Stegostoma tigrinum: one gene and its partners. The protein of the gene in region 2 interacts with the protein of the main gene of each other region in a pairwise test. Links are inferred from orthologs where the notes say so. Each region holds a gene or a part of one and is shown on either strand. Other genes may lie near its edges.

Region 1 (7,456 bases), on a different chromosome or scaffold from region 2:
GATCGTTCACCGAGCCTAGAGAAAGTAGCAGAGATAGGTGGGAGGGGAATGGGGGGGCTGAAATTATGAATGAATCGAGCAGCAGCAACAGGCTGGCGCTGGAAAGGAATGGAGAAAACCACACGGGGGCAGACTTTCCAGTAAAAACACTGGGATCATTCAACTATTTTGACCATTTTCACAAGTGGAAGCGGATTCAACCTGAAGATTATAATCTCCGGCAACAAAAAGTAAACATTCATTTTTGCATGTAGGGATTACAATCATATGAAAAAAACATAGGCCTTTGTAAAAGTAATCCAGTTAGATAAGACTTAGATAAACTATAAAATAGAGGGATCTTACCTATTTCCATATATCCACCAAATACAAATCCATTTTATTACTGCCTTAGCCAAGTCTTTTCCAAGGTAAATCCAGATTCGAGCCTTATATCAGCCAAATGTATATTTAGAAGACGCGTCGTCGAACCGAAAACAAGACTGAACGGGAGGGCAACTTGTGAAGCTAAAAGGAGCAGGAGCCCACGCTGCACTGACCCCGAGATGCAGACGTGCCGCGGGGGCGGGGGGCGGGGATGGGTGGCGGTGCTGCCAACCACTCGCGGCGCACTCCACTCCGCGCTCTGGCCCCGTTCGCTGCAGCGTCCTTCGGGTGATTTCCTCAGCGGCGCTTCCCGCAGCACGCTGTCGGTGGGGGTTTGTCGCCAAGGCCGTCTCCTTGTTTGGCCACCAGTCAAGCTCTCCGCAAAGACTTTTATTTCTGCACCTTGGTTGCCACACACGGAAGGTGTCACCTGTAACGCACGGTCTCTGGGTGCATCGGTTTGCCCTGGTCCTGATTGCTGTAGGTGTTGAAAGAGTTTGAGCTCCCAACCTTGTGCCAAAACTCTGCTGCCTATGTATATGTGTGTGTGAATGACTATCAGTGAAGCTTTGCTCCTATGCACTGTTATTGTGGTAAGCTAAATCTCGGCACAATTCCTCTTTATAACAGCCGTAGCGGCGCCGTCCGCTTTCCAATTGTCCTCAGTGGCACTGGCGACCGCTCGTCCCGTCCCCTCCACCGCTAGCCCCGCACAAACACACACCATCATTGGTCGCCAGCTCGCATTCCACTGCGGCTCATTAGCCGCAAGGGCGCATTCCAACGCCGCCGATTGGTCCCCGTGTCCGGGGGTATGGGGGGGGTGAAACGAAGAGGATACGGCGCATCCGGTCAGCATTGATTGGCTGGGCCGAAGCCGGCCCCGGTTAGTGGGTTCTGATTGGATAAAGGTGTGAGGATCCCGCCTTCTTCCCCGCCCCTTTCCTTTGTTCCCAGGAAGCGGATTGGTCGGGCCTGGGGACTCTGGTTGCCGCTGAGAGCAGATAGGTGGGTAGTGTCCCGCTAATTGGATCGGAGGAAGCGGCGCATCCGACCAGAGACAATCGCTGTCGCGTTGGGTGCTTGTAATTCATTTCACTTAGATTTCCCCGTACAACCTCCCCTGCAATTTACCACGAATCATATAATGCATATGCCAGACTAAATTAGTTACGTTCTGTTTCATAGTAACGTTAAGCATTGAAGAAACTGTATTGAAACATTAAACGTAAACATTATTTCCTGTTAGAGTCGTGTATCAATTCTGCTGCAGTTCTCACCATATTCTTACTCAGCGAGATTTAAGAAAATACACATTTTGTATCTTGGCTGTCGAAGCACACAAAACATACTCTCGCACACACAAACACACACGCAGACCCCTATCCGTGTTCTACGAGCAAAATAAAATGTTCCTCATTGCTAAACGAGCCATTGGAGAAAAATCATCTGAGCCCCTCACGCTGCCTTGGGCCCTCGGCGGCTTTATTATTCATTTGTAAAATAAACCGCAGACCGGAATTCAGTGCAATTCTCCCTCTATCGCATCCTGCTGGTTCCCATTATACAGAGAAAGCTTTCAGATGAGAAAAACGAATGTGGTTTTCAAAAGAGGCAGAGGAAACATTCATCAAAAAAGAGACCCGCAACGACGAAATCTCGCTTTCAAAGGCCATTACTGAACACATACAAGTATTTTAGTTTTTTTTAACTATGTTTGGGCTTTTTTACTTACCAACAAAAAATAGAAACCGTGCATCGGAATATTGAAAGTCCAGGTACTAAGGAGCTGAACATTTCCAGCAGCTCCTACCCTTAGATAATGCTTTTGTGTTCAGATCACACTGGGGGGAAATCCCGACTTCCTAAACGCCTCTTTGTTGTAGCTCCAGTCATTTGAATGCACCAAAACAACTGTCTCCTGCCACCGTATTCATGCTGAGAATGTTAATGCCAATCCACGGAACTTTCTGAATGGGGCGGGGAACCTACACTAAATGTCTTCAGGAATAATTTATGAGGAATATTAAATGATTCCTGGTTGTAATCGTTAAGCGAATTTGAGCTGCAAAGTGGGACAGCCTGTTTGTTTATATAGAGAGATGCAGTGCGTGTGTTCGCCCGCGTATTTTAATGATACATTTAATAATCTGGCAGAACACATGAACCTCTTCCGTTCATCCTGAGTACAGTATATGCATTACGAAGTACAGGCGTTTCCTTTGTTGCTGTCCTGTCTCTTTGAATGTTCCTTTGGGGCGACCTGTGGCTCTTTGGCTGGTTTCATTTGCGCAGGAAATCGCTCATTCATTAACCCTCTGGCTTCCCTTTCATCTGAAGTCTGACTGATCATTAAACCGCCTTTCACACCGGAACGGCTGAAGACCCGTTTAAAGAAATTAAGGGATTTATCTGTTAGTCCATCAACCCTTCCAGACCAGTTATCAGGGAATTTCATTAGCCGAGATGTCAGACCCGGAGGCCAAGGAACTGACCAAATGGAGACTTCAAAGTGCTCTTAAAACGGCAACGCCAAGTTCTACAGAAACTGCAAAGGGAATTTAAAGAGACACCTACCCTGTTGGTGTGATCGAACATCAAGGTGTAGACCACATGTCCCATTCAACAACAAACCCCTGCCCGGCAAAAACACAAATCCAGTCCCAGAAACAACAACAAGAGATCAAGGGTCGATTTCATACAGTCTGACTTAACCAAAATGATCCATGTCAGAACTGACACAAACCCCTCCCTCCTTACATAATGGACATGCCAAAGCTGACAAGTAGCTATAATCTCTGCCTAATTCATGTTTTAAAAATGAATATTGCCTCTCTGAAACCAGTCTGACGAGAGGCATCAATATTGCATCCCCTATCCAGGTTTAACTACTTTTTTTCAATCGACTCATTGATATGTCCACCTTGTTAAAACACAAGGCTTGTCTTCCCACCGTCCATGGTGTAGAGAGACAAAGGCACACAAGGAGTAAATCAAGCTGGTTCATCTAGGTCCACAGACTCCCTACACTTCAATGGTGAGAGTATCTGGTAGCTGCGTTTTTTAGTACCTCCCCGCACACCAACCCAACCCCCCACCCCGCCTCCAAGGAGTAAACTCCTTGGCAGCCACTGGGTCAGCAGCGCGCTGAATTCGGAACATATCCAGTGCAGTGCATTTTAAAAGGACATTTCAACTGTAGAAAATAGATTGTCACCCACCACAAACCTATTTTATGATTACTGTTCCCCGTGCTGGGAAAATGATCTCCTCCATGGAGATAGGTGTGCGACCGGTGGGTGCGCGTGGGGTCTCAATGCTTAGTTAGTTGCCCTTGCCACCAGTAGGAGACACTTTCCGGGCGAATATTTACACATCCCCATTACCCCGAAATAACCAGTCAACAAACAAAACCGCCAGTGAACGGCCCGAACATTGGTTCTATGGGCGAAATCAGGCAAATAAACAGCAAATAACTGAGGCGCGATATCCAATCTGCGACCAATTGTTTAGTCTCTGTGCTATGCTCCGCTCTTCAAAAGCATGAGAGCTCTGCTTTGCGATTTTAATAGTGTATGTGGGGAGGTCTCGAGCTGCGTACTTATGCCAATTGCAAGGCCGGTGTAGCTGTCAGCATGGCTGATGTGCCATTACCTGTAACTGCTGCTGCTTTTCACAATGAGCGAAAGCTTGTTTTTACATTTATTTCCGAGTCCTCACCGTGCTCGCGGCTATCAATGAGGCAGCCTGCTCCCAACGCCTGGGAAGGGCAGACAAGGAGGGCGGATCAAGAAATGTTTCTCGCTCGAATGAGCTCGACAGATAGCATCCAAGGTTTACGGTACGAATGAGTCTGTGGTTTTGGTTTTCTGACATTGATGGACGCTGTTTATCTTTTCATATGGTAAATGTGTCAGTCAGAGTTTCGGCAGAACCAGTCAACCCAGTCTGCTGTATTACACATCGGGTCTGCTGCAAGTCACACTGTGTTATGGTAACAATTTACAAAAACTTTAACAACCAATATCAGAACGTTCTTGGGTAAATTATAGCACGTCATTCAATGCGCATTTTTTCCTCTTAATTCCGGAAAGCCGTTTTACTTTGAAACTTTTTTTTAGCAACGTTTAGACGGGAATTTAAAACAATTTTCAACATGGCACCATTTAGCTCAGTTATTGATACATACTAAACAGTGAAAGTATTTCACAATGTACAGTCGAAATGCAAACACCTTCCCAGCAGAAGTTAAGAATCATTTGAATAGGGAGTGTTTTTTTTACTTCCCTCATTGTGTTTTTTTAGGGGGGGTTGGCACATTTCAAGTAGAAAGACAGTCACAAATTGTAGAGAACCTCTGCCGTACCTCTCTTCCCTTGCATTCACGCTCGAACAAAAATGAATCCGTTTTGATGTGCAGTTTCCGCACATGGACGGTGCATTTATAACTGAATCTGAAACACGGCAATGGATCAAGTTTGACAATTTCCTTGAATGGAGTCGATTTCACCCAAATACTGATGATGACCTACACTGGCATTTTTTTTGCAGCAACGTTGCGGAAGTCAGTGGCTAAGGACACGCGGGAAGAAGACCAGTGCGCTGCATCGGTAATTACAAACTACAATCCCCGTGGTAAGCCTCAACTAATGCTGAAAAAACGGCGTTCGGTTCCAAGTAGTAAACGCCGCTGGACCTAGATCTATGAACAGAGAAACACAAGTTACAATTTCCAGTCATAGAAATGTACAGCAGGAACAGATGCTTCGGAGCAACTCCTCCATGCCGACCAGATATGCTAAACTAATCTAGACCCATTTGCCAGCATTTGACACATATTCCTCTAAACCTTTGCTATTCATGTACCCATCCAGATGCCTTCTAACTATTGTAATTGTACCAGCCTCCACCACATCCTCTGGCAACTCATTCCATACATGCACCACCCTCTGTGTGAAAATATTGCCCCTTAAGTACATTTTAAATCTTTCGCCTCACATCTTAAACTTATGTCTACTTTTGGACACCCCTGACCTGAGGAAAAGACCTTCACTAATCACCCTTTCCATGCCCTTCACTTTTTTATAATCCTTTATAAGCGTTAGAGTAAAGGGAAGACCCTTTAGAACGGAGATAAAGAGAAACTTCTCCAGCCAGAGAGTGCTGAATCTACAGAACTCACTGCTACAGAAGGCTGTGGAGGCCAAGTCAATGAGTGTATTTAATACAGAGATGGATAAGTTCTTGACTGTGAAGGGAATCAAGGGCTACGGGGAGAAAGCGGGAAAATGGGGTGGCGAAGCTGATCATCCATGATGGGCTGAATGGCCTAATTTCTGCTCCTGTGACTTATTGTCTTAGCCAGCATGACTTCTTCAGAAATGCAGTTTGCTGAAGATTGATATTGACTCCGAACCGTGAACTCTTATTTCTCTCCAAACGGATGCAGCCGTAGCTGCTAAGTTTCTCTAGTACATTGATTTTTTATTTTACTTTCAGATATCCAGCATTCCCAGTTTTTTTTTGCCTTTGTTTTAAGGTTGGCATCAGGTTCTGAAATCTGATGGCACTGAGAGCCCTCCCGGACTAAACAGTTCCTCGATAACACCATGGCTTCCGGAACACTTTTTTGTAGCGAATTGAGGTGGTTAACGTTTCTGGGAACTGCATCTCTGCGGTAACATAAAGGTAGATACCATTCCTCTTGGAGTCTGGTTGCAGTCTGATTTCAAACTACACATTACACGGGCTTCACACCATTTGGTGAGAAAAAGAGGACGACACTCCAACCCGTGGTGTCTATACAGGTTTTAAAATGCACTATCCATGGTTTATGTTTCTAAATTTACCCAAAGGCAAGGAAAATGAAACATTGCTCTGGCTATATTGTCACCAACATGTTTCTCAGCTGGACTGTGTCATACCCCTTATCAGTCAAAAAAGAAGTCAGTGCAGGTAAAGAAAACAAGTCAATAGGGTCCTGCTGAATGGCTTCTGAAGAGACTGATAGTCATTGGGCAGAACCACCACTCCATTGCCAGGTCTACCAAACGAGCACCACGTGATAAAAGGCAAATTTGCTGGAGTATAGTGCTGCTCTCTCATTCCAGAGGTGCAAATGCTGATGGTTTAACCTGAGGGTTACCATGCCTCAGGCGAGAGGAGGGATTGAGAAGGAGAGTCCTTCATAGTAACCTCACCCGGCGCTGGAATTGAACCCACTCTGTTGCCATCACACAGCAACCGTTCAGCCAACCGAGCTAATGCACCCCCCCCCCCCACCTACAAAGTGATACCTTGGCTGAGGGTGTCCTCCCCGTCAGATCTTTCCTGCCTAAACGGTATTACGGAGTCACCCCATGCTGTCCTGATAGTACCCTTCTGGCATTTATATTTGCAAAGTCTAGTGAGTAAGAGATGCAGGCCAGGCAGTATCAGAGGAGCCGAAAATTTGAGGTTTGGCGTCGGGACCCTCCTTCTGACCAGAAACGTCAACTTTCCTGTTCTTCTGATGCTGCTTGGCCTGCTGTGCCCCTCCAACTCCACGCTGTTCTATCTCTGACTCCAGCATCGGCAGTTCTTACTATCTCTGAGAAAAAGATGTAGTGTTTTGTTGGTAAGGTAATCCCAAATAACACTGTAAGACGGAGCTTCTGTTATTTAGGACCTTGAGTCAAGGGATAAACACTGAGGCATACACCAACTGCTGCTGGAAGACCTTGGATCAGGTGAAAAAAAAGTTGTACTGCCCAAAACTTACTGAACATTTCACGCAAGGAGATATCCTGAACCAGCAATGCAGTTTGCCACTTTCCCAACGTCCCTGGTCAGAAAGGGAGGTCTTGGGGATGGGATGCAATTATGCAGGAGAACAATGAGGGAAGCTGTTAAATCCAAAAGTGTAATCTAAATATATGGGTTAATTTCAGTGAGGGACCCTAGAGTGTCATATACTGTATTTTGCCACATTGAATGGGCATTACACCCAGTCTTCTGCGTTTTTAACGCCACGCAACGTTTTTAGTGTTTCATCCATTGCTAACTACGCGGGGAGCATTTCACAACAGCCCCAAGCAAAAATAAATGCACA
Region 2 (7,411 bases):
AGTTTTGACTTTTTTACGGATACTTTAACCACAATCGATTTGCAGCATTTGAACTACTAACTGAAAAGTCGGTGTGAGCAGAATATGCCTTCTTTTAAATTCGTTTCCTTTCCTTCAGTTGCTTTCAAATGGTCAGTATTTCTTTTCCCTTTTAATCAACTTGAATGTGTTCGAAACCATCTATAACTGCAAAATTTAGATACTGTCTTTGGACTAATGTCCCGTGTTTTATAACCCGTCATCAGCACTACATCCGTCTCTGACGAAAATTATCGCATAGAAATCTACCGATATCTACTTTACCCTCTTTTCCTTTTGTATTATTTGAAGGTACATTGTCATAAATAATTTGATAGAGCATATCATTTACACGCTACAGGTAGCCATCCTGAAGCATTTTCTTTCTCAGGACTATTTTCACTTAATAAATAACTTTCATTTTTTCACATAAATGCATTAATAAAATTGAGCAGTCTGGTCAGTGTCGTTATTTACGTTTTCATAACAGTATTTATTGAAGAAGAAGATGAAGAAAAATAAAAAAATCCAGGATCTTTATTTTATGACTCCACAAAAACAACAAGAAAGTTGTGTTTTAAAACTTCCACTAACATTGCCCGTGGTATAGACCAAGGCTCAAGAAAAGTCAATTAATATTGCCTTTATTAAGTTATACAAAAAATGTGGCGCCGGATTTTAATATTAACACTTCAACAGAATAAACGAAACAAAGGCAAAAAGGAATTAATCACATTTCGAAGAAAAATCTTCTTAAGTTCACACCCCATGGATACATCTGTCAGCACTCAGAAAATCTAGGAAAGAAGGGGAAAAGTTTAGGAGTGTTCATTTTCACGTGTGCTTGCTATTAAAGAAACCTCTGTTTATTGATGTCAGAATCTAATCTTTATTGCTGATTCCTCAATTCCTTATCTGTCTTACTGCCAGTCAGTATCAACAACAGAGAATTCCACATGTTTTACTGCAGCAAGTCAGATTAAAACTCGTCCACGTACAAAATAAACTGATCCTAAAGATCGCCAGCCTTACTAAGTAGTTTACTATTTCAGAAATGAAGCGTTTAATAACGAAACCCGGTTTATACAAGTCAACCCTGTTTTCCAAAAAACGGAGAAGCTACTGAGGTCTGAGAGGAAGCCGGTGAGGCGCTTTAAAAAAACATCTATTTCAGCCCAAATGCCTAATCGGTCACAGTCCTCCGTCCTAAAATAAAAGTCTCCAGAAGACAAAATCGTAAATCTTGGGACCATATCTTTTAAAAACATAAAGCATTTTGTGCTTCCTTATTGCAGCTGTATTGTGTAAATGAAATAACAGCTGTAGGAATGCATTCGCATTGTGCGCTAGGCTTTTTAGGCGGCAGTTGTTTTTTGCTTTTATGCCTCTTCTATCATCCTACTCCTCCTACACCCCCTCTGCCGAGGAACGCGTTGCAAGCTTCTTCCAACTGATCAGGAACTTTCACTATTAGTGGCGGTGGACAATGTGTTCGTGTTGCCATTTGTAAAAGCACGTTGGGCTTTTGCGTAAGCAGTGACAGGAACAGCTCTGGAGGTAATTCTTCCCAAACTCATAAATCAAAGCTCTTTTATGAATGAGAATGTCATCAAATGGATCAATCGCAGCAGTACATACAAAAAAAACATCTTACGTATTTGCCTGGACCAGGGAACCCCTGTCAGTTTCTAACTTGTAGGCGTTGAGTCGTGATTCATTTTCACTGTTTTATATAAGGAGCACGGCGTTTTCCACTGCTGTTATTGATACTTCCTTCGAATTTAGTCTCCCTGCGTGAGAATTTATAACGATAGACTGAAGTTCTAATTGTTTAATCATTAAACAGAGAAATAATAGGAAAGATTCTTTTCTAAATTTCATACTGAATTTACTGGCTTTGTGCCCAGGTTTTTATATATATATATATAATTATCGGGCTGCTGTAATCTTGTGAAAAGGGAAGGCGACACTTCCTTATTAAAAACAAACCGCTCGGGCAAATAGTGACACATTGTCGATAACTTGTCGCGATTAAAACAAGTCCTCACACGACATAATGGGCAATTTGCTACAAGAGACGTGTCCTTAAACCGAAAGCACAATGGAAGAGACGCGCCCGGTCCCTCAGTACCAAGGGCTTTCAGGCACGCTGGACGGCGCATGGTGACGGCGATTACCCGAAAATGCTCCAAGCCAGGCCTTGGTTTTACCGGGGTGCGGGGGGATGGGGCGGACATCTCAGGGAAGAATTAGAAAAGCTCCCTCAATAGAAACCTTCTACTGAGAAGAGAAGGGGATGATGGTGGTGAGGCGGAAGGGCGTTTTTTTTATTGTAGAAAACTGAAAAACAGAAAAGGCAATTTTTGTTGTTGTTGAAATCGATTCAATCCAGATTTTTTTTTGAGCTGGCACTTTCCGCTACAGTGAGTGTTCAGACCTAGTAAGTAAAGATGGCGGAGCTGAATGTAAATTTGTTCATTTGTTTTAACTTAGAGAACATACGGACAGTGGGAGGAATGTGCTGATTTATTGTTGAGTTTCGTGTATGGCCAAAAATCAAGTCCGGATATATTTCGGTAAAATTACCGTTGTGAACACAAACAAGAGACGTTTTATCGCACTCAACAACAAAGGTTTCTTTCTCTTCGAGGGCTGCAAGTCAGTTCTGTGTAATTCTTTTTGTTTTGCTTTGGGATTGAAAACTGAAATTTTTCAGAGCATTATTCAATAGATCAGGGAGCAATATTTTATACAGCTGATAGAATTGCCATTGGCCAGAAGTATTTTTTTTACAAATACATTTCTTGAGACTTACTTTTAGGTAATTTATTTTTTGCTAATTTCATGAAGTCAATATAGTAAAGAATTTACATTCAGACCACACATCGCAATTTTCAGCTCCTTTTCCAGTGCACGTGGATCAATACTTAAAATAAATCCCCCTTTTTTTGAGGCATTTACATTAATTAATTACGCGTCAACTTTCCAAAAGCCTAAATAATCTCCCTGTTCCTCGTGTGATCGCCATTCCCCAGTGCTGGTTTACAGTTTTACAGCAGGGTTAGGAACCACCATTTGTCGTAACTAAATAATCCGAGTAAATTACTGTATCTAACCCTGACCAACGTCACTCTGTAATGTGCATTAGATTGATCTGAAATCACCACCGGCCCTGACTGCTCGGATAGGTCTCTACAGGAAGCTGACAGATGGGTGGCAGCGCCTTGCAAGCGACCACGTTTGGTTACATTATGCCTCAGCCAGGGATTGTTATTATTCATATCGGTGTGGAAAGCAACCCGTCTGATTCCCGCTTCAACCAGAATAAATAGGCAGGGAGCCAATATGATCTCGAAGACACTTTGGCTGCCCGTAACCCTATAGTGAGGGGATGCTCCCGCCAGCCTGTGTTCGATTGAAGAGCCTGCTCATTTCCATGCCAATAGCGAGAAACTTGAGGACTGGCAAAGGCCAGGCCTTGATAGGCTGTTGCATGTTTCCTTGTGACATTAATGCACAGTAAAGGCAAGGCGCCTCCTTTTACAACAGCGCACCAGATCACATATAGCTTAAATACAAATCTCTGGGCCATAAAGCTCGTCGTCCAATCAATCATCTTATCCTTTTATTTTCAGGGTAATCTTCACAGTTGCGCTGCAGTGATTGGGGTATAATCAGTTCACAATATGCGCAGGCCTGAACGAAACACAGCTCTGCAGCAACTACCTGGATTTTCTTTCATTAAAGTGCGCGAAATGATCTGACACCCAACAGATCTGCTTTGCATAGCTTCCCCCCGACCTACGTATAACCTATCTCAGCATGAAAAACAAATCACCGCTCTCGCAGACACACAATGCTGCAGTTGAGACACCACAGAGGGACACGGATTTCATCCTTACAGTGGAACACTCTGATGCCATTCCCCTTACCCTTACAGGGTCTGGCTGTTAGGTATTTATCCAGCGACCTACCTGAGACAGAAGCTGCTGCGCTGAGCGGAACGCGCTATTACTCCCCATGGTAGACTCGCGGTAACTCTTAAATGGCGCTGCAGGTCCGGAAAGGAACAGTACGTGCATCTTGAACAAATTCCTGCTGCATTCTGCTGGGCATGCTTTGAAGTATAATGCATTCGCGGGCTAATAATGCGCGTAACCTTGATGGGAGAGCGTTTGGAATTTCAATGCCAGTAAAACGGTGATCGATCAGCAGCAAGAGCATGCAAACTTCTCAGGCAGCCCGGCGATTGGGCGGGTTTGGTCACGTGGCGACACTTGCCTGTATATTGATATCAGTTTCTTTCAGCCCCATTGAGGAAGTGGGCAAGTTGGCACCGTCCATCCAGGCTGGTGGACTTTATATGCTGGTTATACCCCAGTGACAGATGGACAATGCAAGGATGAACACCTTCCTAGACTATTCCATCATTAACGGAGACACTGGGGCCTGCTCTTCCAGAAGTTACCATGCAGATCCAGGAATTGCAACTTACCAGTCCTGTGCCGTTAGTAATAATAACTGCACCGCTGATGAACGCTACATCGTGGCCAGAAGTGTCCAAATAGGTGCTCCACCTCCTCCTCGTCACCATCACCAGCCTAGCTATACACATCACAACAACCTGGGTATCTCTTACAGTGCCCATCCCAACTGTGGGGCAGGATACCCAGCCCAGAGCTTTAGCACAGGCTACAGTCATCATCACTACTCATTGAATGAAGAGGCGGATGGTAACGGAGGGTACTCTCAGTGTGCTCCTGCTGTCTACCCTGGGAACATTGGCTCGGCCATCAGCCCTCATCAGCACGGCTATGGTGGGATGGTGGGGCCAAGTCAATATTGCCATCACCCTTACGGGCAAGAGCAGCAGCAGCAGCCGAGTTTAGCCCTAGCTACAGGCTGTCACCCGTCGTCCCCCGCCCACGGCAGCCATCAAGAACCTTGCTGCTCCCCGTCAGCTGAGACCCCTCCCCCAGCACAAACCTTTGACTGGATGAAGGTGAAGAGGAACCCTCCGAAAACAGGTAAATTCTATTTTCGAGGTGCAATATCTTTCCACAGGTAAATCATTGTCAGGTGAAAGCCGATACTAGCAGATGCGGTGGGGGGGAAAGCGTGTCAGACTCGAGTTGAAAGAAATCTTGATCTGTTGCATGTTGTTTAAGATGATCGAATGGCTGCATCTTTCGTCTACATTGTCTTTTTTTCCCCCATCTATTCTTTCCTTTCCAGTCTTATCAGCATTGTGTGAGGCATATTTTCAACACCACCTAGCTGATGACATGCAACAGTTGTAGTGTAATGCTTTTCGGCTTTTCATGACAAGACATTCCCAAACTACTGAAAAGGGAATGATTGATTATCTATGCAGTCAGCCGAATCTAGCTGTCCCAAGCAATTGTCACAGCCTACCTGTACGATTCCTTGCCTGACTCACCTGTTATGTGCTCCTTTCTATTCACTGATTTAGGGAAGGCTGGGGAGTATGGTTTTGCTGGTCAGCCCAACACAGTGAGAACTAATTTCAGCACTAAGCAACTAACCGAGCTGGAGAAAGAGTTTCATTTCAACAAGTACTTGACCCGGGCCAGACGTGTGGAAATTGCGGCTGCCCTTCATCTCAACGAAACCCAGGTAAAAATCTGGTTCCAGAATCGGCGGATGAAGCAGAAAAAGCGGGAGAAGGAGGGCTTCGCCTCAGCTTCTCCGGCCACTCCAGGGAGTGAAGCAAACACAGAAGACACCTCAGACAAATCGATCTCTACCTCGTCGACACCCTCCCCATCATCATCTACCTCAGAAACGATTCATACTTCAGGCTGAAAGATTCCATAGCAGCCCCCACAACTGGAAACCTTTTCATTTGATAGTTGTTTCAAGTTAGGAGGGAAATATGTAATGAGACATAAATGTCTGGGAAACAACCCCAAATCAACTTATTTTCTTTGGGGAAAATAATCAGCCAATCTCTAAATGCACCAGAGATGCACTATTATAGAAGTGTTTACACTGAGAACCAACTACTGTATAGTATAATTGTCCTATTTTAATTTAATGTGTTGCATATATATTGTAAGCTGCGCTGGTTGTATATATTTTGTCAAGAGTTTTATCTTTTTACAAGTATTTTCTAAAAAAAAGAAAGCCAGTGTCTTATGCGACATAGCTGTAGAGTTTTTATAAGCAAAATGTTATCAACGAATCAAATATACGTGAAATGTTTCTTGTATTTGCAGAAAGCAGAGCTGAGTAGATAGGGGACCTCTCCTTAAACTGTGGACGACTTTATGTACAGAAATTACCATTGCACTGGGCTGTGTAAAATTTGAGCAATGTTAAATGTGTTCCCCTCCCAAAGTACATGGGCTGTCTGAAGACCAGCAGTAGCACCTTGTTAAAATACCTCAAAATGATCATGTTTACTCCGATATTTGTTGGACTTAATTTCGTAAGCTACCTGTCAATGTAAGTTACGGCCAAATGATTGTTTTCCTTGTGATTTGTGTACGGAATTTTGCATGATACAACGCTGTCAGTGTGTGCTTAACCCATCACTGAGTTTTATCAGTTCTTCTGTGTGACTAGATGTATTATACAATCAGCACGTGATTTGAATCAGTTCTGAGATTTTCTGTGACTGAAATCCAGGACAGAATTTACGGGTCCAAATAATAAATTATATTAAAATGCTGCGTTTCTCTATCATGTTACAGTTGCATTTAAGTTATCTTAAGCATGTTACAGTTTCTTGACCCTCGGCATGAACTTGCACCCCCATCAACAATGTTCAAAATCGTCCTTCAGATCCCGGACACTGCTAAACATCACGTTTAGTTATTTCATTTATTAATTGGCGTTTTATTTAATTTCGGTTATTGATAGGTAACAGTTCATGAAGTCAAATAGGACAAGTTATTTTATTCACAGGAAATACCTGCGGGTCTTTAAAGTGGCTTTTGCAATGTTAAAAGCTTCTTAGAGTGCATCTAAACACTGACCTTTTCACCTTGAATGGCTTATTTACATATATGTAAACAGGCCATTCTCCAATGACAGTGGTTGTCATCAACTTGACTTGCTTCAAAATGCAACAAAGAATTCACCGCATTCACAGTCACACTCTAGCAAACGAAGTATAAGAAATGGAAAACACAAGTTTATCGACGCAAGGTTCCAAATTAAACTATTCTCGAGTTGTTTTGATTGAACAGATTGCTGAAGCCGCGTGACTAGAATGTCGCTAGCATTTGCTTGAGAAACATGATTAGATGCAGTTTGGTGTCAATAAGCAAAAGTCGATGGTGTTGTAGGGCATGTCGGCCATATCAAGGGTGATGTCTGCTGTAGAGTTGTCTTCCCCTGGAAGATTACATTCGACGCAAAAGAGCTT
Region 3 (8,236 bases), about 19 Mb from region 2:
CCCAGCCAATAATCAGAGTGGTGATAAGAGAAAACCACATGATCTAACATACCAATACAGACCAAGATTTGGAGAGGTAGTCGGAACTGCCGATGCTGGAGAATCCAATGTAACAAGGTGTAGAGCTGGATGAACACAGCAGGCCAAGCAGCATCAGAGGAGCAGGAAAGCTAACATTTCGGGTCAAGACCCTTCTTCAGAAATGGGGGAGGGGGAGGGGATTCTGAATTAAAATAGGGAGAAAGGGGGAGGCGGATAGAAGATGGATAGAGGAGAAGATAGGTGGAGAGGAGACAGACAGGTCAAAGAGGTGGGGTTGGAGCCAGTAAAGGTGAGGTTAGGTGAGGAGTTAGGGAGGGGATAGGTCAGTTCAGGGAGGACGGACAGGTCAAGGAGGTGGGATGAGGTTGGTAGGTAGGACATGGGGGTAAGGCTTGACATGGGAGGAGTGGAGACATGGGAGGAAGGACAGGTTAGGGAGGCGGGGACGAGCTGGGCTGGTTTTGGGATGCGATTGGGGGAGGGGAGATTTTGAAGCTTGTCAAGATCACATTGATTGTTCTGACTGAACTACAACCCATCCCGCACCTGACAGCCGATTGGACAATTATAGTGGGTGAGGCAAAAGAAATAATTCATCAATGGACCTAACGCACTAAAATAATTAGAACTGATGCTGAAAAAGGAAAGTAGTTGCAGGACCCTAGGTTGTGGGATAGATTCTGGAATTGGGAACCAGTGTTCAAATACATCCATGAGTTAGAATTCTGTTGAATGCTGCTGTAGTAGCAATTCTATGTACATTAGTAATCGTCATAGTCAATGTATGTCCACCTTATAAGGTGAAAAAATGAAACTGTATGAAGATTAGAACACTGTGGATGTGGTACATCTGTTGGGGAATACTGATAGTCCGAGTTATGCTCCACAGAAAAGGGACAAAGAATGATCCCAAGATAAGTAGCTTTGGATCAAGAAAGGGGAGATGTTGGCCAGAGGCTGCAGAGGGCTAGAAAAAGAGAGAGAACAGTATAAACTGCCAGCATCGCTGCCTGGGGAAATGTTAGCCAGAAGTTGCAGAAAGATAAAGAGTGAGAAGGGTACCAGCTGCCAACATCGCTAAAAAGAGGTACTGAATGCAAAGGTGCTGGCATGAAGAAAGAAGCAGCTTGTGAACTAAAAATGGACTGCACCCAGGTGCTAGTTTGAGCCAATTTAAACTGATTTGAATTAACTAAGTTCTGCAAAAAGTAAGAAAGATGAGATAATGCAAAAGCCTTGTTTGGATGAGAAATGTTGAGATAATGCCACCTATATCTCTGGGCCAGTGCCAATAAGGTAGAGACATGTGATAAGTGAATTAGCCTGAGCCAATGGAAAGAAGACAGCATGACTTGACAGAGATAAGAGAAAAAACCTTGGGGCACACAGCCAGCAAAAACTCCAGAGGCAAACCATAGCAGAAGCAGATCCTACATCAAGGATGTGGTGATGACATCAAGTGCAGCACCTGGCCAGCCTCAGCCCTCGATAGGATATTGGCGTTTATATCCTGAGACTACTTAGAGAGTGTCAGAGGACTCCAGTGGGTGTATAAGTAGGTCCTAGTTCAGTTTGTGGGAAAATATATAAGATCCAGTTTTGAGATAAAACATTTAAGAAACATGTGCCTTGTTTAAATACACGAATAAAGTAATTTGTGAGGTTACCAGAATTGACTACTCTCTGTATAAGCTGATAACCGGAGTTGGTGTTTTCTGGGCTCTCGACAACAATGTATTTAAATACATAATTTCATAAGAAAGATCTTCAAGCGTTAAAGCTTTCATGCAGATGGAACTGATTTCCCTGTTCTTTCATTCTTTAAGTTTTTGCCCTCTGCCATAAAAGGTGCAACTTTGATTGCTTATTCATCCTTTGTGGCATAGTATTCTGTATTACAAGCCAGATAAGAAAATTTGTTGTCACCCTTCCACCATTCTCAGAGATTATGTAAAATTAACAACACCTCATTAATTACTGCCAAAACAATGGATTTATCCTTACTCGTGCACAAAATCTTCTTAATTTGAATATGTTTTATGAAATCTACTCTTAGCTTCCTCTGTCTGGGGAATATAATGCCACTGCCTGCTGTCTCATCAGAACTAACTTTTCATTTTATCCTGATGGTATAATGCTGTGGACTGAAATGCAACCTTGTGCCAATAGCCACAGAATGATGCTAACTAAGATTCAAACCAGGCCAATGGGACTATTGCACCAGACAGACCTCAGTCTCTAAAAGACTCAAGTCCCAGACAAATCCCAATCCTTGCCAGACTCCAGTTTCATACAAATCCAAGTACTAGACAGACCCTGACCCCAGATAAAACTATTTCTAGTCAGATCCCAACCCCTGGCCAGATCCCAATTCCAGTAAAATCAAAGTACCAAACAAATGTAAATACCAGATGGGACAAGTTCCCAGATAAACTTTAATCCAACACATACATCAATCGCAGAGGCACTCTGATCTTAGCCAAATCATGGTCCCAAACATATCCCAATTCCAGGCACACCTTAATGCCAGACAGACCCCAATCTTAGACATATCCAATTTCCAGGCAGATCCCAATCCTATAGACAATCCAATCCCAGATAGACGTTAATCCCTGGCAGACACCAATCCTGAAGACATCCTAATCCCAGACAGACACTCCAACCCAGAGACACCCAGTCCCAGGCAGACCCTAATCCTGATCCCAGAGAGACCCCAATCCAGAGACACCCCATTCCCAAACAGACCTTAATCCCAAACAGACCCTGAACCCAATCCCAGAGAGACCCCAATTCAGAGACACGCCATTCCCAAACAGACCTTAATCCCAGACAGAGCCTACTACCAGGCAAACTCCAATCCCAGACAGAGTTTAATTCCAGGCAGACCTCAATCTCAGAGAAACCTCAATACCGGACATTCTCTTATGCAAAGGCAGACTGCAGTCCCAAACAGACAGATTCTGGGCAGATACAGCAAGACCTCCGGAACATGTTTGCTTCACGGGTGGCTGGACCTTGGCTCCACAGGATGAACCCGTGTAAACAGCAGCGTCCTCCCAGTGATTTCACCCCCGTGTCACGGCGCGGAGCTGGGCTCTGGGCGTGGTGAGTGTGGGCCGCTCTCTCCGTCTTTGCTCAGGCCAGGACTGGACACAACTCGGGGTCCGGTCCACACACACATATAAGCGGATGGAGCCGTGCCAAGCGGTTTCTAACCTCCGATATTCGACATAAGAATCGACAGCGGCCGCCGCCTCCTCGTTCAAACTGATCCGCTCCATCCGCCTGTTGCTGAGCAACGGATCACCCAGCAACCAGAAGGACACGAGGGTGAAGAGGGTACACACGGTGAACACAGACAATGCACTGAAGATACTATTACAGAGTACATCGTGAACTGAGTATACGATTAATATACTAAGTGCTACACGGAGCACGAAATTTAATACAATGTATAAATATTCACAGTATGTGACATAAGCAATACGCACAATTTACAACAAACGCAGTGAATACAACACTGACCCGAATGCAATATATTCGTAGTATTCACAAAGTTCATAGTAAATGTACTGTGCAGAATGTGGAGTAAATTTAATACAATTTACACAGTGTAGTTAATCTAATATACACTAAGTAGTAAATACAGTGCATGGTAAACGCAAGTAAGTATTATACATCTTGTAGGCGCCCCTTCAATGCACGAGATAGTAGGAACTGCAGATGCTGGAGAATCTGAGATAACAAGGTGTAGAGCTGGATGAACACAGCAGGCCACGCAGCATCAGGGGAGCAGGAAAGCTGACGTTTCGGGCCGAGACCCTTCGTCCAGCTCCACACCCTGTTACCTTCAATGCACGATGCGTACACTATAGCTCGACGAGTTGTGTCAATATACAATATGAATCGTACAATTGGAGCGAGGCAATTTTCTTAGGTATACTAGAGAACTATGCTATCAAAAAGGAAAAATATGCGGGTGCTGAAAATCTGGGCAGTGGTTCATAACTCGTGCTAGACTCCAAACGTTAGGTGTTTCTCTATACAAGATGCCAGATCTGCTGAGGTTTTCCAGCGTTTTCTGTTACAGCCATACTGTTCTCACTGTTGCAAACGGCAGGACAGGGAGTACTAATACCGCTTGTACACCGTCTTCTGTCCAACCATTCTCTCCCAAACCCCACTGCGGTCCTCTCCCTCCCCAATACTTTTTTTGCTCTCCCTCTCTCTTCGCGGGCCAAGTGTTCTTGCACTGTCTGAAGCCTTGTTTTGTTTAAAGAACTAATTTTATTCAGATTAATGTAACTCACTAACTTCTTCACATTCAAAATCATTTACATCATATCACTCCTGCCCCCAATGTTGTATCAAAATTGATAAGGAGGAGGCATTGGAGAGGCCATGGGTACTTAAATTTGACAAGTCATCAGGATTAGATGAACTGGACAGAAGCTAAACAATTAGCAAATTGTCAGTTTAACTTCTGTGGTTTGAAGGCTGCTAAAAACTATTTGGGATAGTAATCAGATGTGGTAATGTGGTTTGTTTATGAAGAGCCAGCATAGATTTCTAAAGGAAATTGTTTTCAAATAACTTGCTGGGGTGTCTTGAAATGGCAACGGAAATGGTCAATGTGGTAATGATGTTCATATGATGTATTTGTGTCCACCATCTACAAGACACAAGTCACAAGTGTGATGGAATACCCCCCACTTGCCTGGATGAGTGAAACCCCAACATTCAAGAAGCTTGTCACCAACCAGGACAAAGCAGCCCACCTGATTGGCACTGCATTCACAAGCATCCGCTCCCTCCGCCATCGATGCTCAGGAGCAGCAGTGTGTATATCTGCAAGATGCACTGCAAAAGTTCATCAAAGATCCTCAGACAGCACCATCCAAACCCATGAACACTTCTACTTAGAAGGACAAGGACAGCAGATATATGGGAACACTACCACTTTCAAGTTCCCCTCCAAGTCACTCACCATTCTGACTTGGAGATATATTGCCATTCTTTCACTGTAGCTGGGTCAAAATCTTGGAATTCCCTACCTAATGGCATTGTGGGTCAATCCACAGCAGGTGGATTACAGAGGTTCAATAATGCAACAAGGGACAGGCAATAAATGCTGGCCAGCCAGCAATGCCCACATCGGGCAAAATGAATAAACAAAAAAAATGTAGATTTTCAAAAGGCAATCAATACTGCGCCACACAACCTTGTGATGATAGTTATAGTTCATGGAATAAAATAGACAATAGCAATGTGGTCACAAGATTGACTGAGTGATGGGAAACGGAGAGTAGTGGTCAATGGAAATTTTTCTGGCTGGAGGAAGGTTTGTAGTAGAGTTCCACATGGACCATCAATTCAAGGACTTTGACTTTTCTTGATATACAATAATGATCCATATATTTGTATACAGGAGATAATTTCAATGGATGGAAACTTGGAAGTATTGTATACACTGAGGAGGACAGTGTGGAGGTCCTAAAGGGCTGTCCTTCAATAGCTCAGCTGGTGGAGCGCAGGATTGTATTTGTCTCAAAACAGTCATCCTCAGTTGGTTCAGCTCTGGCTCAAAGGTGTCAGAATGTTTTGAGAGCTTTACTCTGTATCTAACCAGTGCTGTATCTATCCTTGGACAGGGGATGGGGACTATGTAGAGGAAACTGTTTTTTTACCCTGGAAGAGCACAGAAAGCTTTACTTTCCGTTTTAAAAGAATAGACAGTGCTTTACTCTGTATTTTTATTCCATATTGTAACCACCCTGGTAGAGTTTAATAGGATAATAAAATGTGAGGCTGGATGAACACAGCAGGCCAAGCAGCATCTCAGGAGCACAAAAGCTGACGTTTCGGGCCTAGATCCTTCATCAGAGAGGTTAATAGGGATTAATAGAGTTTAATAGGGATAGTTTTGGGCTGCTTTACTTCCAGATTACTTTCAGTTTAAAAGAATACAGGAAACTTTACTCTGTATTCAACCCAGTGCTGTTCCCGTCCCTGGAGGAATTGGTGGGAACAGTGGTGACAGACATTTATTTTCTGTTTACTTTTAGTTCAAAACAGTAGTGGAAGCTTTGCTGTGTATCTAACCCCATGTTGTCCTTGTCCCAGCAGTTCAAGGGAGCTTTCAGTTTAAAGGAGTAAGGGCATTTTTAATTTCAGGTTAAAAGAGTATAAGGGGTCTTAATCTCTATGTGATGCTGTAGTGTATCTGTCCTGAGTTTGTTTGATAGGGGCAGTGGTGAATGAGTTTGCCTTTCAGTTTACTTTATGTTTCAAAAGAATAGGGAGGGCTATACTCTGTATCTAAACTAATGCTGCTCCTGTCCTGGGAGAGTTTGATGGGGATAGTGCAGTGGGTGTTCTACTCTGTATCTGACCCCATGCTGTTCCTACCCTGGGAGTGTTTTTTGATGAAGACAATGTCAAGAGAGCTTTACTTTCAATTTAACAGCACAGGGAGTTTCACTCTGTATCTAACCCCATGCTGTACCTGTCCTGAGAGTGTTTGATGGGGACAGCTAGAATAAGCTTACTGTGTATACTCTGTATCTAACCAATGCTGTACATGTCCTGGGATTGTTTCATTAGAGCAGTATTGAGGGTGCTTTACTCTCAGCTTATTTTCTGTTTAAAAAAGCAGAGGTCAAAAGGATATAGACAAGTTGATGGAGTGGTCAGATAGGTGGCATATGAAGGTCAATGTGAAGAGTGCAAAGTGATGTATTTTGGTAGGAAGAACATGGACAGACAATATAAAATAAGGAGCACAATATTTAAGGGAGTTCAAAGTAGAGGTCTTTGGTGTGTGTGTGTGTATATATAGATCAGTAAAGGTTCCTAGACAGGTGGAGTCATTAATAAGCATACAGTATCCTGAACTTTAATAATCAGAGCATAGAGTACAAGAACAGGGACATTATACTGAATTTATACAAAACACTGGTTCAACCTCAGCCAGAGTATTGTGTGCAATTCTGGGTGTTTTTAGGAATGTGAATGTGTTGGAGAGAGCATACAAAAGATTTACAAAAAAAAAGTTCCAGAGATGAGAAAGTGGAGATTTGGATTGTTCTCTTTGGAGAGAACATAGAACATAGAACATGACAGCACAGTACAGGCCCTTCGGCCCTCGATGTTGTGCCGACCTGTCATACCGATCTTAAGCCCATCTAACCTACACTATTCCATGTACGTCCATATGCTTTTCCAATGACGACTTAAATGTACCTAAAGTTGGCGAATCTACTACCGTTGCAGGCAAAGCGTTCCATTCCCTTACTACTCTGAGTAAAGAAACTACCTCTGACATCTGTCCCATATCTTTCACCCCTCAATTTAAAGCTGTGCCCCCTCATGCTCACCGTCACCTAGGCCCAGAGAATTTATGTTTTCAGAATCATGAAGAGTCTGAAGAGAGTAGATGGGGAGAAACAGTCCCCATTCCTGGAATGAGTGGGCATTGATTTAAAGTGATTTGCAAATGTAACATATGTGATGTGAGAAAAAGTATTTTTTTCCAAACAAATGGTTTTACGTCTAGAATGCATTGCCTGGAACGGTGATGGGGGCAGAATCAACTGATATATTTAAATGGAAACAACATATAAGGTTATGGGGGAAAGACAGGAGAATAGCACTCATTCATAGAGCTGGTACCGGCGAAATGGCTCCTTCCTTTATTGGAATAATTCCGTTTCTACAAATTCCTGCCCCGCCCTGAGGTTGAAACAGCCAGTCAGGCCGTACATGCGCAGTACGCGAGAATAGGGGCTGCTGGGATGGATGTGAGAACTCGGAGGCCAGCGGGTGAGTGAGGGTGGGCCTACTGGAATGGTGTCACAACGGGTTAGGGGCGGCAGAGGACAACCACTGCCCGGGTCTTTACGTGTTCGCGGGGTTTCCTGACCCAGTTGGGGTCGATAGTGATGGCCCAGTGAGATAGTGGTGCTTCAGTCAACTGAGCTATTACTGAAGTCTGGCTCCCTGGAATAGAGGACTGGGCCTCCCAGTGGTTTTAGAACATACACGCATGAGGAGTCAGTGAGCTGTTTGATTTTGGCAAAATAGAACATGCCGATCTCTGATTCCCCACAGGAATCTTTTGTGGGAAACTGTCTTAATGCCTTGTCCGTCATCTTTGATCATTCTTCCCCACTTGCACTTACTTGCCCCTCATTTC

The links.
Region 1: the proteins of hoxa1a (region 2) and spry1 interact in binary tests that used the Homo sapiens proteins (3 or more experiments, as listed by UniProt). The two-hybrid records come from large-scale screens. The link is inferred for Stegostoma tigrinum from reciprocal best matches to the Homo sapiens genes HOXA1 and SPRY1.
Region 3: the proteins of hoxa1a (region 2) and fam221a interact in binary tests that used the Homo sapiens proteins (3 or more experiments, as listed by UniProt). The link is inferred for Stegostoma tigrinum from reciprocal best matches to the Homo sapiens genes HOXA1 and FAM221A.

What each region holds. Positions count from the first base shown.
Region 1 is NC_081354.1:34,544,784-34,552,239, forward strand, and holds the start of spry1 (protein sprouty homolog 1), read right to left. Parts: upstream 3,386-7,456; 5' UTR 2,944-3,385; intron 2,905-2,943; exon of another isoform or gene 2,102-2,904; intron 1,122-2,101; exon of another isoform or gene 346-1,121; intron 120-345; exon of another isoform or gene 1-119. UniProt on the Homo sapiens protein: Inhibits fibroblast growth factor (FGF)-induced retinal lens fiber differentiation, probably by inhibiting FGF-mediated phosphorylation of ERK1/2. Inhibits TGFB-induced epithelial-to-mesenchymal transition in lens epithelial cells.
Region 2 is NC_081355.1:57,632,772-57,640,182, reverse strand, and holds hoxa1a (homeobox protein Hox-A1a), read left to right. Parts: upstream 1-4,353; 5' UTR 4,354-4,405; coding exon 4,406-5,045; intron 5,046-5,491; coding exon 5,492-5,844; 3' UTR 5,845-6,713; downstream 6,714-7,411. Other genes in the region: hoxa2b (homeobox protein Hox-A2b), read left to right, coding at 1-60. UniProt on the Homo sapiens protein: Sequence-specific transcription factor. Regulates multiple developmental processes including brainstem, inner and outer ear, abducens nerve and cardiovascular development and morphogenesis as well as cognition and behavior.
Region 3 is NC_081355.1:76,557,123-76,565,358, reverse strand, and holds the start of fam221a (protein FAM221A), read right to left. Parts: upstream 3,386-8,236; 5' UTR 3,324-3,385; coding exon 3,259-3,323; intron 2,986-3,258; exon of another isoform or gene 2,961-2,985; coding exon of another isoform or gene 2,929-2,960; intron 1-2,928.